Linked DNA regions of Tamandua tetradactyla. The main gene of each other region encodes a partner of the protein of the gene in region 2 in a complex. Links are inferred from orthologs where the notes say so. Each region holds a gene or a part of one and is shown on either strand. Other genes may lie near its edges. The genes, in order: S100A13 and IL1A.

Region 1 (8,196 bases), on a different chromosome or scaffold from region 2:
GTCCACTTCTCCGTCTCCGTTCTCATCCAGTTCCTTCATCACCTTGTCCACCGCGTCCGCATCCTTCTGGGCCTGGGTGGGGGAGAAGGGGAGAGGGGGAGAGGCGGTGGCACGGCGAGTCCAGCGTGCCTGACGCTGAGTTAGGAGCAAGGAGGGTCGTTGATTGAGAAGGAGGCAGAACTACATCGAATGGGACTCCTGTGCTCCCCTCCTCAAAACCCCAATACCCATGGGCTCCTGTTGCCCACAGGATGAGCTCCTCCACAGCGCGGAGTAACGATGGTCACAGCTGTGACCATCCTCGGAGTGCCTTCAATGTGCCAAGCTCCACAGGCATTGTCTAATTCCTCACAAAAATAGATTTTTTTATGAGAGGTAGATTTCATTATTCCCAGTTTAGAGAAGAAACGAATTGACAGTCAGTGGTTAAGCAAGCTGCCAAAGTCACACAGCTTGAAAGTGATAGGGTCAGAATGCAAATCTGGGTCTATAAATAAATAAAAATAAAGTGTCTGTGTACTTCCTACTGTATCCTGAAGGTTCTCTTTTACCGTAGGGCCCCCGTTTGCTTTTGTGGCCTAATTTTGTGCATCCTTCACTCCAGTCAAATTAAACTTAGCATGCTCCACCTTCTTTTCTTCTCTCATGTTTTTATTCATGCTGATACTGCCTCCTAAAATGTCTTCATTTACCCCAATAACCTGCCAGTGGAAATCCATGGCTCAAGTGGCATGTCCTTGGAAAAGCCATCCCACTGTAATCAGGTTAATGTTCTCCCATCCCCTTGCAGGTACCTCTAAGAGCTCTTTGTACTTCCGGCCTTGTTATTGATGAATCTATACACAGCCTTCACTTAACAGGTGATCAAGAAACCAGGGCATTTTTGTTGTTTTTAAAAAATATTTTCGGTGATGAATCTTAGCACACATACATTCCACACATGTACAATCAGTGGCTCACAATATCATCACATAGCTGGGTATCCATCACCATGATCGATTTTTAGAACATTTGCATCTCTCCAGAAAATGGAATAAAAAGAGAAAAGAAAAACTCATACATACCATACTCCTTACTCTTCCCTCTCATTGACCACTAGTATTTCCAACTGCCTGATTTATTTTAACCTTTGTCCCCCCCAATTATTTGTTTATTTTGTATCCGTATTTTTTACTCCTCTATCCATATGCTAGATAAAAGGCGCATCAGATGCAAGTAAACCAGGGCATTTTGAGTTGCACCAGGAAGAGTAGGGGGGCCTGGAAAAAATTCAGGAGAGGTCTAGGAGAGCAGGGAGAAGGCTGGGCTGAGTGGGGGTGGGGTGGGGCGGGACTGGAGATGACAGGAGCGTGTCCACCCCATTCTGCCCACTTGCCCATCCCACCCTCTGCCCACTCACGTCCAGGAAGCCGGAGAGCTCGGTCTGCAGCAGCTCTTTCAGCTCCTTCTTGCTCAGCTTGTACTTGTCCCCCTCCTTGCCGGAATGGGTGTGGAACACGTTGATGAGGGTCTCCATGGCCGTCTCCAGCTCAGAGCCCATTGCGGCAGCTCACCTGTTCACCCCCACACACAAGCACACACGCCATGGAAGTGAGTGGGGGACCAGACCCAGGGCATCCGGGGTTGGGGTGGCGGGGAGGAATCTTGGTCTCAAGCCTGGCTCTACCCCACAGTCCGAACCCTCACGAGATGGGAGCCCCACAGCAATTCACCCTTCACTGAGATATTATAATAGGGAAAACTCAGGCAGAACTAAATCCAGTCCTGCTCTTTGGGTCCGTTAATCCATATTCCAGCCAGACAGGGTTTGGGGCATTGGAGAGAGAGTGACTGGGCTGGCTCTAGAGGCCTGAGGAGGGTGGGGCAGGCAGAAGTGGTCACAGGGCCTGGCCAGGCTGCCTCTGAATCTATTTTTACCCTGCGCCTCATTTGCCCGCATAGCCGGGCTCTGTGTGCTATTGGGGACAGTGAGCTGGGGTCCTTTCCATGGTCTTGACTCTGTGGCCCACCATTAGCAAGGAGTCAGTGTGCTATTCTTGGTGAGCCTGAATGGAGGGGAGACAGTCGGAGTGAGTGGCCTAAGACTCCTTGGGGGGTTTTCACAGCCATTAAGCTATCTGTCAGCAGCTTGGGGGCTCCTTTTGGTCCCTCAACTTTGTTCTTTCCAGAACACGTCATTTTGGCTTCCCTGAGGTAGGCCTCTCATTGCCTCTGGTTCAGCTCCTCTTGCATCTCTGCAGAATCAGCCTTTCCCTTGGAGGAATGGTGGGAACGGACAGGAATGTCTGAGGCTTATCCCTGGAGCCAGGGCTCCCAGGGAGGGGGAGGGGAGACCTGTAGGGCCTTGTCTCCCCAGGCCTAGCCTGGTTGATGTGGGGACAGTGAGAGAAGGGGGAATGGGGCCGGTGTGTATTGGGGAAGATAAAGACTCAATTCCTGAGGTCCTTTGAGGGGCTGGGAGGGAGAAGAAGAATGGAGAGGACTGCTGAGGCTGGAGAGGGGAGACCGTCAAGCCAGTGGGTCTCTTTCCTTTGTCTCTGGGGCTGTCAGCCCCTCCCCAGTCTCAGGGGGCAGCTCAGATGTCTCAGATCAGATGTCCCCATCCTTCCCGGGGTGGGGGGCTGAACAATGGGCCCTGATCGTATGACATCCCAACTCTTCAATGGGGCCCTTGTGAGTGTCACCTGAACTCCGGACATGAGAAGCATTTGTCACAGAGACAGAGGAGAGATGGAATCCAAGCTGGGGCTGATGGAGAGGATAAGGGGGCGTGTGAGGGAAGGTGCTGGTGGCTCGGTTTCCAGCCTCATCCAGGAGGGGCACCTGGAGCCCTCGAGAAGGCTGGGGTTTTGTGCTGGGGAGTTCTGAAAGGAGCTCTTCGGCAGTGTGGGGGTGGGGGTGGGTATGGGCAAACAAAGAGAACAGAGAAAGAGGAGTCTGGATTTCTAGGCCAAGAGAGGGGAGGAGGAGAAAGAGGAGGCCATGTGGGGATGGAATTGGAAGTGGGTACAATATCCTTGTACCCCTTCTTCCTGGTATCACATGACCACACCCTGCCACCTCCAGACTTCCCTGGGACCTGAGCTCTTGGCAGGGTGGGCAGAGGTGGCAGAGACTGAGGCTGGGGCCAGAAGCAGTGGGTCTATCTGTTCTCTTGTTCTAACCCAGTGGAAGCACAGGGAGGGCTGGGTGCCCACCTCGGTTCCTGGGAGATTGAGGGAGAGCTGGCAGGGGACTCGAGGGCTCCTTGGTGGGGGCCTGTGGCCTGGGGCTCAGGGGCAGGCACCTCATTGGTTTCCTTGCCTGCCATGCTCCCACATCTCTCTTGACCTTTACCTGCCTCTCCTTACCACCTTCCAAAACCTATCTCCCCCGAACCCCACCTTGTTGCCATCCTGATGAACTCCTCCTGGACCCTCAGTCTGCCACAATGTCCTTGTCCCCAGAGCCTTGGAGCCCCTCTGAAGCCCCCTATCCCCCAGTTGGCCTGGGCCGGGACCTGGCTCGGTGGGGCAGGGTACTCACGGTCAGCTCCGGCTGCAGATGACAGCAGGTTCTGGACAGCCAGGCCAGGCTGCTAATGTGGCTTCAGAGCTGTGTGGGGAGACCTGTCTTCAGTCGTCCTTACCCCGCTGCCCCCCCCGCGGCTCCACCCCCTCACGGACACCCAGTAGGGCAAGGGGCCAGGAGTGGACAGAGGCGCCCTCTGTGTTCCAGGCTGGAACAGGCCACCCTGTGTTCTCTTCCCCAGCCATGTTCTGCTCCCCTTCTCCCTCGCTGGGCACCAGCATGCGGGCACACAGGAGGAGGGGAGGTGGGGAAGGCAGGTCTGGGGGGGACCCTGGGGCGCCTCACCCGCGCTGGGCAGTGGAGCCCCTGCCACGGCTGAGCCCTGCTGTTCAGCGAGGACCACTCTGAGGGCCTCGGAGCCCAGGTCTCCTCCACGCGGACCCCTGAGGACCCTCAGTGAGTAAGTTAGTTTTAGGGCATCTCCCTGGGGTTCAGGCTGTGATCCCTCTGAGAGATTCAATGCGGGGACTCTTCCTTGGGGATGTCAGTCTGGACCTCTTTCTTTGTGGGGTTTCATTCTGAGGGGGCATTTGTGGTGTTTCTCTGATGGGGCGTCTCTGGGCTCCCGATTGGAGGGCAGGGGTGGGTGGGGGTGGGCGGGGGGTGATTAGCGCGCTCCCAGGTGTTGGGACGGTCGGGTCCCCGCTGGGCGGGGTCTGTCCAGGCAGCTCGGGGAGCCCCAAGTGGGGGCGGGGCGGGCGGGGCGGGGGGGGGCGCGTCCCCGACGGGGGGGGGCTCGGGGGCGGGGCCTCCGGGCCGGGGGCGGGGCGGGGCGGCACCCGCCAGAAAACCCGCGGAGGAAACTCGCCCCGCGGGGCTTGCGAGCCGCTGGCTCCTCCCTCCCCAGACGCCTATAAACCTCAGCCCCGAGGCTCCTGCTCGTTGCACCCCATCTCCTAGCCCTGGTGAGTCGCATCCCCCTTCCTCTCCGGAGAACCTGGGCACCCTCTTTCCTCCCCGGGGCTCCAGCTCCCTCCCCCGGAGGCATCTCCGACGGGGATCCCGGAAGTGGCTTGGAGAGAGCAAGCAGCAGTCTGTGCAGGGATGGGTGGCGGGTGTGGACGGATGGGCGCATGAGGGGTGACCGGGCACGTGCCCTTGCTTCAGTCCGAGCCCCCTCCCCGGGGCTGTGGGTGTCCACACCCTCCCCTCCCAGGCCCTCTGTGGGCGCGAGGGCCAGCACAGTCCTGCCCAGGCCCCCTGCAGCTGGAGACGGGTGCGGGGGGGGGGGGGGGGGCCGCGGGGGCCTGGGCTCAGCCCTCTGTGCAGCCGCCCCAGCACCTGTGCCTGAGGGGAGGCGGGCGGGGACTAGGGAGGAGACAGCCTGAGCCGCCCTGGCTGCAGCTGGGCACCGGCCAGACCCTGGGCTCCTCTTCTGGGAAGAGTGGTCAGGGTGCGGGGGCGGAGCGCTGCGGGTGCACGCCCGGGTCTGAACACAAACACGTTTCGGAGACAAACAACCTTATGACCCTCTGCGGCTGGCCGGGTGAGAGACTTCAGGAAGCGGCTCTTGGACAACCCCCCGAGGGACTGCTCCACAAAGGGGTGCCCAGATGAGAGCTGCCTCTACCGAGGGGCCTCCAGACTGACAACAGACATAAACACTTAAAAAAGGATCCCCAGACTGTGCGGCCTCTCAAGGAAGGGGTTCTGGAAATGAAAACCCACCTCCCCACCTCCTACATTGAGATACTGCTACCGGGCCCCCTGGCCCCTTCTCCCTTCCCAGGCAGATTCCTGAGGTGGCCGTGCCAGGGCAGGGAGCGCTCTGGCCTGGTCCTAGGTCCCAGGCTCCCTGACTCTCCCTTCTGTGCCTTCCCCATCCCACAGGTCAGCCCCTGGAGGGCGGCAGCTCCAGCCCAGCGCCCCAATGGCGGCCGAACCGCTGACTGAGCTGGAGGCTGCCATCGAGACGGTTGTCACCACCTTCTTCACCTTTGCAGGGCGGGAGGGCCGGAAGGGCAGCCTCAGCGCCCAGGAGTTTAAGGAACTGGCCACTGAGCAGTTGCCTCACCTGCTCAAGGTAGGCCAGGGTCTGCAGGCCTGAGAGTACCTAAGGCCCTGCGCGTGTGAGCTGATTCGTGTGACGACAGGTGTGAATGGGGAGAAGGGTGTGGGTGGCTCCGTGTGTACATGGTGCTGGGTTTTCGTCTGGCGTGTGCCGTGTGCCTGTGTGTGTGGTTAGGTAAGCAAGGAATACTGTGTCCGTGCAAGCGGGAGTGTGCGGTGGACGCTGTGCTCCACCCCCCCATGCCTGTTGGGTTTCTGTGTTCTGCCTGCGCAGCTCTGCTGCTGCCCAGCACAGAGCGGGCTTCCAGAAGGTTCAGACACCAGGCAGAATTAGAAGAAAAGCCAAGAGAGGAAACATGGCCTGACCTCCTCGCTTCATGTGTTGGAAACTGAGGCGGTGGGAAAGAGCTTGTCAGAAATAAGGGCACTGCCAAATGCATGGAATGGAAGAATCTCAGTGCAGGAGGGGCCTGAAGCAGCAGCTGGGGTGCTTCCCACCCATCTAAGAATCCCCCCAACTGTGCACCTGACCCCTTTCCTAACAGGTGGAAGTCAGGATTTCAAATTCTTTCATTGTTATTCACAAGCTGTTAACAGGGTCTTGTAGAATTTGTCTGAAAATTCCCAGGCAGATAAAAGTGTGTGAATGTGGATTTAAACATAGACACACACACACACACACACACACACACACACACACGAATCTCTGAAACTCATAGTCTATCTGCTATAAAACCCCCTTTGTCCTCAGGCTTAGAGTTTTCCCTTTGTTTTCTTACTGGAAGCCTGGCTCTCTTCTGAAGGTGCCGCGTTTCCTCCAGCCCTGTCAAGCCTGAACTGTTTTATTCTTCCACCTCCTTCCAGGCCCGGAAATGCCCCAGGTGATCTTTCTGCTTTTCATTGCTGTTTGCATGTCTTAGTTCTTCCTTCTTCCTAAGTCTCCCGGCTCCTTGGAAGATCATATACTCCTGCCCCTCTCTCATTGCTCTCCCCTGTACCCCTTCAGCCCTTAGCTTATTGTTTATCACATCACTGCTTCTGGCGTGATTCTCAGTGGGTTCAGAACCCACTCAGACAATTCATCTGACACCCGAGCCCTTTGATTTCTTAAATCACTTCCAAAGATTCTGTCCTCCAGTATCTCAGCATCCTAATCCTATATTCATGCTTTAGGTCTTCTCTTTACTAAAAGAAAAATAAAGAAGTAAATCAAAACCCTATACCACGTCCAATACCTCAATTTCAAGCCTTCCTTTCTCTAACTTCCATCTCCTGTCTTTCCATTTTTATTCCTCTATCTGCGTCTTCCGTTTCAGCATTTCCTTGTCTCCACTGGGACTGCCAATCTCTTGACCCTTTTTTCATCATCATCCCTTGTGTCCTCATTTCCCTTCTTATTCAGCTTGAGTTCTAAGGTTCAGTATCATCACTCCTTCACCTCTTTTGCTTCTGTCTCTTTCTTTGTCCTACTTGCCCCGCAAATTCTCAATCCTGGTTAAATCCAACATTCCACCTAAATTAACTTGTTGGTTAACCTATTGGTTAAATCCAACATTCTGCGCCTGCACCCGTGTAGCTGAATGTGGCTGGAGAAAAGCACTCAGCCAGGCCCACTTGCCTCACTTTAAATCTATAACCACAAGCCCCAAGGGGACTCTTGACACCGCCCGCCCGGCAATTCTATTTCATTTCCCTGGTCCATTCATTCCCCAGCTCTTTCAGATCCTGATTTCACAACATTCCTCTCCTCAAATTCCGTTACCTGCCCCCCACCCCACCCTGTCTCTCTGTTGACTTTACTTCTTTACTGAGAAAATAGGAGCAACAAGGAAATTCTACGCCCTCCTGTGACCATGAATGCTGTCTCTGCTCCTCTGATCCCCTCTGCTGGGGCCCTGCATCCCAAACCTGTCGCTTATTTAAAGACTTCACTCTTGCAATTATAGACCTTTTTCTTGCATCATCAGAATTCTTAATCACCTTACAAATACGCTATCATCTCTCCATTAAAAAAAATAGAATAAATTTCCCCTTAATCCTATCATCCCCTCCAGCCATACTTTGTAGCTCTGCTTCCCCTTATAGCAAAATCTCCTCAAAAGCAATAAGAGTTATTTATACTTAATGTTTCCACTTTTTCCTCTCCCAATAATCCCCACCCGTAATTTCCTCTTGAAACCTTTCTCATCAGGTTTTCATTCTAACCATGCTACTGAGATTTCTCTTGTCGCTATCATGAATGTCTTCTTTATTACTTAATGATTGGTTCTTATTTCTCATTTACACTGCTGAACTGCTTTTTTTTCACTTGGTTTTTTGGATGCCAAGAGTAACTCGCAGTGTCTGATCGTGGCTTCTCTGTCTCTCCATCCTTTTCTTCCCTGGATGCTGCACAGAACTCCGCTGGTCTCTGGAGCCTTAGAACGGTTCATTTGGACAATTTCTGCCCATCCTCTTGCTGCTTTTGGGAGGGGATTGATTCCTGCAGCTTCCTCCCTATTCCTCCAATTTCCTGGAAGTGAAGTGCCAAACATCAGATCCCCCCATCTTCCCCAGTAGTCAGGCACCGTGGCAGTGCGGTGTTGGGCTTGTGACCTCATCTGTAAGACAAGGGTC
Region 2 (8,994 bases):
TCAGGTAGACCTGACCAAACCCTGCGAAGTAAAATCGATGGCCTCAGTCTCACAGACGAGGCACCCGGGCTCCGAAAGTTCAGTGACTCGCCCAATGAAGCGTCACCGCCCTGCCCCTTGCACACAATGCCCTCGGCCTGGGATCTGTCCTCCATGGCCCCCACCCAGCTCTCTGAGGCTGGCGGCACTCTCCCGGAGTCCTTCCCGAAAGCCGGGGTCAGCCAGCCACATCCCCCCACGCCTTGGGGTCGCCCTCCCGTGCCCCCATGAGCCAGAAGCTGGTCCCTTCCCACCCCCTCCCTGTGGCTTCCGAGCGGGGCAGCTCCAGGCACGTTGGCGTGAGCTGTGAACCCCGGAGCGCGCTGTCCCCACTGCCCCATCCTATCCCGGCCAGGCTCTGTCCTCCCCAGGCCCCAAAGGGCCCTCCCGGACCAGAGGGCAGAGCACTAAGACCACACAGGAAGAGTGCAGGAGAGGGAAAGCTAGGCTCCTACTTCTTCCCCTTGGATGTTCATTTTCTTATCAAAACGCTTCAATGCTTGCCCAAACTTTCAGACTCAGAAAAAACCTAAACTTCCTTTTCTTGCATACTAACAAGGCCCAGCCGTCTTCGTGCGTACCAACCTTTCTAGAAAGCGAGGCTGAGTCATAATCACTCAGAAGATGGGGTAAAAAACGGTCATTCCCTTCTGATTTATCAACAACTGTTACATATTTCTGTACTTGGAAAGGAATTTATTTCTATTTATACTCAATGACAAATCAAATTTGCCACTGAAGTAATGAAGAAGAACAGAAAGAGTTAACCACACATCCGCCAGCGACAGCTCTGTGTACAACAGGGAGATTCCCCAAAGCAGGCACAAGGAGGGAGCCCAGATGTGCCACGGGCAGCCTGGAGGCCACGGGCAGGCTGGAGGCCACGGGCAGCCTGGAGGCCACGGGCAGCCTGGAGACCGCGGGCAGCCTGGAGGCCACGGGCAGCCTGGAGGCCACGGGCAGCCTGGAGACCGCGGGCAGCCTGGAGGCCACGGGCAGGCTGGAGACCGCGGGCAGCCTGGAGGCCACGGGCAGCCTGGAGGCCACGGTCAGTCTGGAGGCCACGGGCAGGCTGGAGACCGCGGGCAGCCTGGAGACCGCAGGCAGCCTGGAGGCCACGGACAGGCTTGGAGGCCACGGTCAGTCTGGAGACCGCGGGCAGCCTGGAGGCCATGGGCAGGCTGGAGGCCACGGGCAGCCTGGAGACCGCGGGCAGCCTGGAGGCCACGGGCAGCCTGGAGACCGCAGGCAGCCTGGAGGCCACGGGCAGCCTGGAGGCCACGGGCAGCCTGGAGACCGAGGGCAGCCTGGAGGCCACGGGCAGGCTGGAGACCGCAGGCAGCCTGGAGGCCACGGGCAGCCTGGAGGCCACAGTCAGTCTGGAGACCGCGAGCAGCCTGGAGGCCACGGGCAGGCTGGAGGCCACGGGCAGGCTGGAGACCGCAGGCAGCCTGGAGGCCACGGGCAGCCTGGAGACCGCAGGCAGCCTGGAGGCCACAGGCAGGCTGGAGGCCACGGGCAGCCTGGAGGCCGCGGGCAGCCTGGAGGCCGCGGGCAGCCTGGAGACCGCGGGCAGTCTGGAGGCCACGGGCAGCCTGGAGGCCACGGGCAGCCTGGAGACCGCAGGCAGCCTGGAGGCCACGGGCAGCCTGGAGGCCACGGGCATTCTGGAGCCCACAGAGCCAGGCCTGGAGGCTGCAGGCAGCCTGGAGGCCGCGGGCAGCCGGCCACCGCCGTGGCCACACTCCTCCCGTCACAGCTCCCCTCCAGGCCTCGTGCTGCAACCACCCCTGCTGGGGGAGGACAGTGCGAACCCCCCGTGTGAGGCTCAGCCCCTGCACGGCCTCCAGCCTCATGCCAGGCTTCCCACGGACACATAACAAGTGCTTTGAAGCGCATCGGGTCCTGTACACACACCCGGGTGCAGCGTTGTGGTGACATTTCAACCTGAAGTAGTGACTCCCTCGCACCGACGGTGTGGCAGCCGTTTTATTCTCCCAGATCATACTGGAGTCAAGATTTGGCCGAGATGAAAGCAGCTGATTAGGCTGTGATCTGTCTTACCGGAAAGCTCACCATCCAGGGGGTGAAGGCTCTGCCAAGGGAAAGCTACCATCGCCAGCTCCATCCAGGGACGCGTGTGGGGAGGGACATGGGGGCATACCCAGATCCCCAGCCCGGACTCTTCCAGGGGAAGGGAAGGCGTCGGGCGGCCATGCGGAGCCCCAGAGGAGGACGGACGCCTCGGTGCACAGGCGGAGACCTTGGGGCCTCTTGGCTCCTCTTGCCTGACTGCCAGTGAGGAGGGGGCTCATGGAGTGGGGCGCAGGGCCTCTACCGTCCACCTGCTCCCTGGATTTCGGGAAAGCCAAAACCTAAAGGCCCAGAGAAATAAATCTATATATATGCCCCGAAAAGAAGCACATCATCCTCTTTACATATTTCGTATCTCCTCAACAGCACCTGAAGACTTGTTTTAGAATCCAAAAAGTAAGACAGGTTCTTCTCTGAACTTGAGAAACAAGTTCAGCTCATGGATAACTGTGACTCCAAAGAGGGAAATGACTCAAAAGGAGAGGAATTGCTAAAGCCCGTTTCTGGTGAAGCAACCTACAGGAGTCAGCAGGAAGGCAGCGTGGCCCATGCTGCCCGCTGTGCCCTCTGCCCGGCAGTGCTCCCGGGGCGCTCTGACCCAGACACGCACCACCCGGCGGGCCCATGGGTGGGGATCAGAGCGCGCCACCCCCACCCCACCCTGCAGGCGGTCTGGGGTCCTGCGTCCTCCCACCAGCACCGCCCAGACAGCTGCACAGAAACTGGACCCCGCAACCCCGGACCCCGCACCACGCAGCCCTGGCCCCAAGCTGCCCCACCCGCCCTCCCCCCCTTACTGGCCTGGACGCCCCTCCCCTGGCCTGGAAGCCCCTCCCCTACCTGGAAGCCCCTCCCCCTAGCCTGGACACCCCGCCCCCCCAGGGCCGCGCCCCTCCCCCCACTGGCCCATCTCCCTGCACAGGTGTCCACAGGGTCATGGGCCAGGTGGGGGGCGGCCGCCCGCTCCCTGGGGCTTCGGTCCTGTTCATCCACAGGCAGGAGCACAGAGAGGCTGTGACGAGCAGGTGCCTCTAGCCGTAGGGTATTCTGAGTGAGAAATAGGAGGCAGTGGGTGTGAATTTCAGTTCCTGGCGCATATAAATTGTCCACGTGACCAAGGCAACACCTTCCACTCCACGTCTTTTATATAAGTGAGAGTTTGGCGCGGATGTCTCGCAGGGGCACGCTTCTCCCACGTAGAATCGCAGGCCTTCAGTGGGGCACCGAGGAAAGCAGAAGAACTGAAAAGAAATGTAAAAAGCAAAGGAAGGGCAGAGGCCACAGCGAGGGACAGAAGGGCTGCGGTGTCCGAGCCCGCCGGGGCGACGCGCCGACCTCACAGCTGTGGGCAGATTATTGGTCCCTCCAGCATCCCATGTCCTCATCTGTAGAATGTGAGAGCGAGTCCTGCTCCCACATGGGTGAGGACCCCAGGGACAGGGCGCTGCAGCACCCGGACACGGCTGCCCACATGGGACCTGCTCGGGCCGCAAGGCTGGCTCCCAGCCGCCCTTCTGGGACTTCGGCCCCGAAAGCGACAGTAGGGCCCGCCCCTCTCAGCACCTGGCTCACCAGTCCCTCTTCCAAAACAGTTTCCACAGCCATGTGCGGGAGGCAGTGCCAGGGCCCTGCGGCTGCTTTCTCCCTGCTGAGCTTGCGGGTGGTGCGGCCGCAGGCTGTCCTCAGGGTATAGACTGCACTGGCCACGGGGGCTACAGGCGGCACTGACGATTTGCGTTTAGCTGTGTCCCCATGGCCACCCTCGCACCCTGGGCACCTCGCACAGGTCCCCCAGCCCCGGCCTTACATTTCCCAAAGCAGGGGCTGGACAGGACCACACCCTAGGGGTGCTCGGCCAGCTGCGCCCGCCCTCCCGAGGCCCAGCTGGTCCTCCGTATGCGGGTGGCTCCAAGATCTTGTTCATGACGATCATGACACGTCGACGGCCAGCAGGTGCGGACGCCGGGGCTGGTAGGTCAGGCCGTACGGCCTCCCCACAGTCCCACCCAGCGGCGGCTGGAAGAGACGGCGCCGCCCGCATGCACCACTTTGCACCCATTCTTGGCTGCGTCGCTTTCATGCCATGCGGCTTCTTCTCCTCTTCGCTCTCCTCCTCTTCCCTCTGCTTCCTTTATTTCAAGTTGATGTGGCTCAGACTCCCCTGGGGAACTGGACACGCTCATCTGCTGGGCAGCCTGGTGGTCTCAGGCCACGGGGACAGCCCTCCACCAGGACAGCTCTCCCCAGCCCCTCGGGGTCCACAGCCCTGGAGGCTGCCCCAGCGGCCACACCGGCCTCAGGCGCAGTCACGGCCTGGGGGTCCCGGGGACGCTGCGGCCACTATGCTGCCCCCCGCAGTCCTGGGCACCCTCACCAGCCCTGGGCTCGCACACACACGCATATGCACACTCACCAAATGCATGTGCACACACATATGCACACGTGCACGAACACACATGCACACACAAACGCATGTGCACGCACACACAAACACATGTCCACACACATGCACACGCACACAAACGCATGCGCACATATGCACACATGCATGAACACATATGCACACATGCACAGACAAACGCATGCGTATACGTGCATGCACACAAACTCCAAACACAGACCAAGCCACAAAACACTCCCCCAACTCTAGCCACCCGTGATCCTGATCTCGGGATTCCACCCTTCCTCCCCACCATAGTTTTTACAAACTTGTCATTTCCTGCTCTTCTCCCTTTTTCCACAACTACAGGTCTGTGATTATAAACAGCAAAGCAATAAATAAACAAACCAAGTCAGTTCAGTCCTGGAATCTCTGAAAACAATTTGGCAAAATTATCTAGCAAGTCATTATTTTGTCCAGTATCAAGTTGAGCAAATTCCAGAGCTGCAGAAACAGAATTCTTTCCTGTAAATTCCCCATGACGTCCTCGCGGCCACGCCTACTCAGGACAGTACAATAGGCAGGGCCCTGGCTGCCGGCCACAGAGGCAGTCATTTCAGCACAGCCAACACAGGTACCGTCGTCCCTCCGGCACGGGGGCTGCTGGACGCCTTTTCCCCCTTGCTGCTTTCCTTCCAACTTCCTTCTCTGACGTCTCCCTGGCCCTCCCTTCCCCTGGCTGGGTGAGCTGGGGCCAGTCAGGTCTCAGAGGAACCTGTGTCGTCCTGAGACGGGGAGCCGGCTCCCTCAGGGGCGCTGGCGGGCACCGTGCCTGCCCTCTGGAGGGCACCGGAAATTCCCGGCCCTGCCGCTGCCTGGCATCTCTCCAGGGCAGGCGCTGGCGCTGGTGGTCTTTGACCTATCAGACCACTGTGTGCCATGCCAGACCTGAGGCAGAGTCTAGAAGAGGGTTACAGTTCCATGGGGGCGGCAGATGGTATAAAGTCAGAGTGGAGGAGTGGACGGGAGGAAGGGGGAGACGCTGAGGGTGGCCTCTGGGGCCCGCTCCCCCAGAAGCAAGAGGGGGTCGTTTGCTCTGCAGGCCCCCTGCTCAGAGACCGTTCCTGCCAGCAACACCGAGATGGCCCGAGTCCCTGACCTGTTTGAAGACCTGAAGAGCTGCTACCGGTAACAGATCCTGCCTCAGGTTCCACGGGGGCTGCTGGGGGCTTGCTGGCCCCAGCTGGTGGGGGGGGCGCAGGGGGCCAGGCCTGGGGAGGCCGAAAGAGTTTTCTGCTATCTGTGAGGTCAGGGGGCTTCGGCAGAGACCAGCATGCGAAACCAGTTTAGAAAACCAGTGTCTGAGGTCTGTCCCACCCCATGCATGTCACATCCACTCGCACACAGGCCCGGTCGAGGCCACGTGACACGGGGACACGGGCGTTCGTGGACTGATGGAGAGAGAAACCGTTTCAGGAAAGCTTTCTGATCCCACTCCAAATGGGAACTGGCTCACAGCCCAGCCTCGACAGACAGGACAGATGTTCAATGCATAAACTCTTAAACCAACACAGCACGACCCTAAGTGTGATATATAGTAATGCAGGCTGGACTTCCAGATGGTGCTTGGAGGCTTCTGCCAAGTATAAACGATTAAATCTGTCTTAGTGAATACATGAAAACAATGTGTGACACGTGGTCTGCTTGGTTAAAACAAAAACAGAGGTGCTTCGAAAGTCCCCTTTTGAAGTGCTTACCATGTTACTCTGAAATTCAGTCACAAGGCTTTAGCACGTGAGCAGAGCCGTGCTTCCACAGATAAAGCTCAGCTAGAGTCCACGCCCGGTCCTGCTCATCCCAGGTGGGCGAGCCCCACCTCGCTGGCGGTGACTGTGCACAGAGGCCCTTAATTTTCAAACATGATGGCAAGTGCCAAGGGTGTGATGGCAGAGCTGGCGCAGTCGTGAGGGCACGTTGCCTGGCGACCACAGAGAGGAAACAAACAGCTACATCCCCGCGTCCTGTTTTGACAGTGAGGATGGCGGCTGTGGGCCCGGCAGCGGCGGCGGCGCCCTGGACCAGGTAAGACGGCGGCCGAGGTGTCGGGACGGCGTGCCCAGGCGGGAGCAGCGATGGCGAGTCCGGGCCGGCCTCCCAGGGTGTCTGAGACCCCTAACCAGCTTGCAGAACTGGACAGGACGGTCCCGAAACCCCAAGGCCAGAGTCCCCCGGCCCGGCCTCACAGGCCCCCCGGCCACACGGCCCGAGAAGGACAGGTGTCCTCACTGGCACCCGCCCAGGTCGAGAGGCAGCCCGTCCCACAGCGAAGGAAGCGAGACCCCGGGCAGAGGGACGTGCAGTCACTGCCAGGCTATGCCTGTCTTCAGGGCGGGCTTCAAAGCTGCTTCCACAGGGGAGCCCTAAACTCCTCAGAGCTTAGCCTCAGGGAGGAGCTAGCACGAGGCTATGCTCAGGCTGGTGCTCGCCCAGGGTGTAGCTCCTCATTTTCGGCTTAGCCCATGAAAGGCAAAGTCTTCCTAGGAGAGCACATCCTTTCAAGGAAATCCTGGAGGAGGGAAAGAAGGAGGGAGGGAGGAGGAGGGGAGGAGGGAGGGCAGGGGGGAGGGCGGTGGGGGAGAGGGGTCAGGGGGAGGGAAGCACAGGAGAGGGCGACTGAAGGGTGCCCTCTGCTCCCACGGCAGCCTTGCAGCTTCCTGTCCCGTCCCCAGAGATCCTTCTATGAAGCGAGCTATGGCGCGCGTCCTGAGGGCCACGTGGATAAATGCTGGCCTCTGAGTGCCCCTGCAGCCCCTGCGAGACCCGAGCTGGCCTTGGAGGAGAGTGTGGTGGTGGTGACAGCCCGAGGAAAGGTCCTGAAGAAGAGGCGAAGGAGCCTGAGTGTGGAGGGCAGGGTCGATGGCCTGGAGGCCCCCACCACAGAGCTGGAGGCAGGTGAGGGAGCCCCGTCCCCACTCGGCCACTCTCAAGCGAACGGGCACTGCGGCGGAGGGGGGAGAAAACCTGGAATCAGAGAAGCAGGAGGGCAGCGGGCACTGGACACACCCGCAGGAAGGGAAATCAATCTTAATCCCTCTGCGCGGGGCGGGCTGGAATGCTTGTCCCCAGGCCTGTTACCTGGAGGTTTGTAAAGGACCTTCAGCCCTCAGGGAGAAGGCAGTGCGTACTGTTGCCTGGCGACCACCTCCAAGCCAAGCTCCTCTACTTCCCAGCTGTCCTCCTTGGGCAGTCCCCCAGTCCTCCTGAGCCTCAGTTTCCTCTGCTCGGAAGTGGAGAACTCAGGGTCCGGCCTCACCGGAGAGCTGTGCCGGTCCCAAGCGTCAGGACTCCCCAGTTCCGGCCAGAATATCACCCGGTATACAGTAGGCATACAATCAGTGTTGCTGCTGCTGCTCTCATTAGGGGGAGCCTGCGTCCCTAGCCATCTGTCCAGCGCCCGGCAGGACCTCTGACTCCCTGAAGCCCGAGAGTTGAAGGTCACATGGAGGAAACGAAGGGCTGTCCCGAGCCGAGCAGCGGGGTTGCACATCCCTCCCGCGCCACCTGATCGAAAGCCATGTGTGTTCTCGTCGCCTTCACCCTACAAGCTTCCCATGAGTCCTGTTTCTAACATTACATCTGAATAATAACACACATTCCTTCTAAAAGTTGGAAGATGCAAGGAGAAGTAGAAATCACTCTCCCTCCAGTGCTGTGGCCATTCCTTAGGGCCGTGTCCGAGGGCCAGGGCAGGACCGCGCTGTCTGCTGGTCGGGAGCCCGTCCTGGAGGCGTGGCAGGGAGCATCGGGCACGAGGTTCTATCTGCACCGTCGCCTCGGGGGGCACTGGGGGGGGAGGCCCGGGCCAGCCTCGGTGACATGCGCGGCCTGCAGTGGTCTTGGCTTCCTCCGGGCACGCTCACGTGCAAGCCAGGCAGGCGGTGGCACCCGGGCACTCAGAAACGACCCAACAACCAAAACCGAGAGCACTCCACTAACCATCTCGGGGCACAACAGTGCCTGAGAAATTCAAGTTTTAAAAGAAGCAAATAAGTAATCTTAAAGCCCCAGCTGCTGCTGATTGGATGCCCTCACTCCCCTTCCAGTTTTCATGCCTCAGTTGGAATAGCCCTAATGCCCTTGCAGCTGCTCTCTCTGATTGCACGAGGGCGTGAGCAGGTGTGTGAGTGCATGTGCAAGCGTGAGCAGGTGTGTGCAGGTGTGGGGTGTGTGTGGGCAACAGTGACTGTGAGTGGGCCTGTAGGGGCGTATGTGAGTGCATGTGCAGGTGTGAGCAGCCGTGTGAGTGTGGCGGGGCGTGAGTGGGCATGAGCGTGGCTCGCAGTGGGCCTGACCTCACCGTCTTTGTCACCACACAGGACCCATCCAGCCCCGGGCTGCGGGCAGCGCCTTCCGGGCAGCCGTGAGGTTCAGCTTCACGAGGGTCATCAAGAGCCACTTCACACTGACCGATGACCTGGCAC

Evidence for each region.
Region 1: the proteins of IL1A (region 2) and S100A13 are in contact, whole or in part, in an NMR structure (PDB 2L5X), measured with the Homo sapiens proteins. The link is inferred for Tamandua tetradactyla from reciprocal best matches to the Homo sapiens genes IL1A and S100A13. Residues at the interface, in NP_000566.3 of Homo sapiens: Asn148, Gln150, Tyr151, Thr194, Ala195, Gln196, Asp197, Leu203, Leu204, Lys205, Glu206, Met207, Gly216, Ser217, Glu218, Thr219, Asn220, His239; in NP_001019381.1 of Homo sapiens: Met1, Arg25, Gln26, Glu27, Gly28, Arg29, Lys30, Asp31, Ser34, Asp68, Ser69, Glu70, Lys72, Phe73.

Annotation. Positions count from the first base shown.
Region 1 is NC_135330.1:6,427,726-6,435,921, reverse strand, and holds the start of S100A13 (protein S100-A13), read left to right. Parts: upstream 1-4,327; 5' UTR 4,328-4,475; intron 4,476-5,400; 5' UTR 5,401-5,440; coding exon 5,441-5,593; intron 5,594-8,196. Other genes in the region: S100A1 (protein S100-A1), read right to left, coding at 1-72, 1,400-1,540. UniProt on the Homo sapiens protein: Plays a role in the export of proteins that lack a signal peptide and are secreted by an alternative pathway. Binds two calcium ions per subunit. Binds one copper ion. Binding of one copper ion does not interfere with calcium binding.
Region 2 is NC_135343.1:337,246-346,239, forward strand, and holds the start of IL1A (interleukin-1 alpha), read left to right. Parts: upstream 1-5,129; 5' UTR 5,130-5,147; intron 5,148-5,615; 5' UTR 5,616-5,654; coding exon 5,655-5,701; intron 5,702-6,546; coding exon 6,547-6,595; intron 6,596-7,242; coding exon 7,243-7,465; intron 7,466-8,889; coding exon 8,890-8,994. UniProt on the Homo sapiens protein: Cytokine constitutively present intracellularly in nearly all resting non-hematopoietic cells that plays an important role in inflammation and bridges the innate and adaptive immune systems.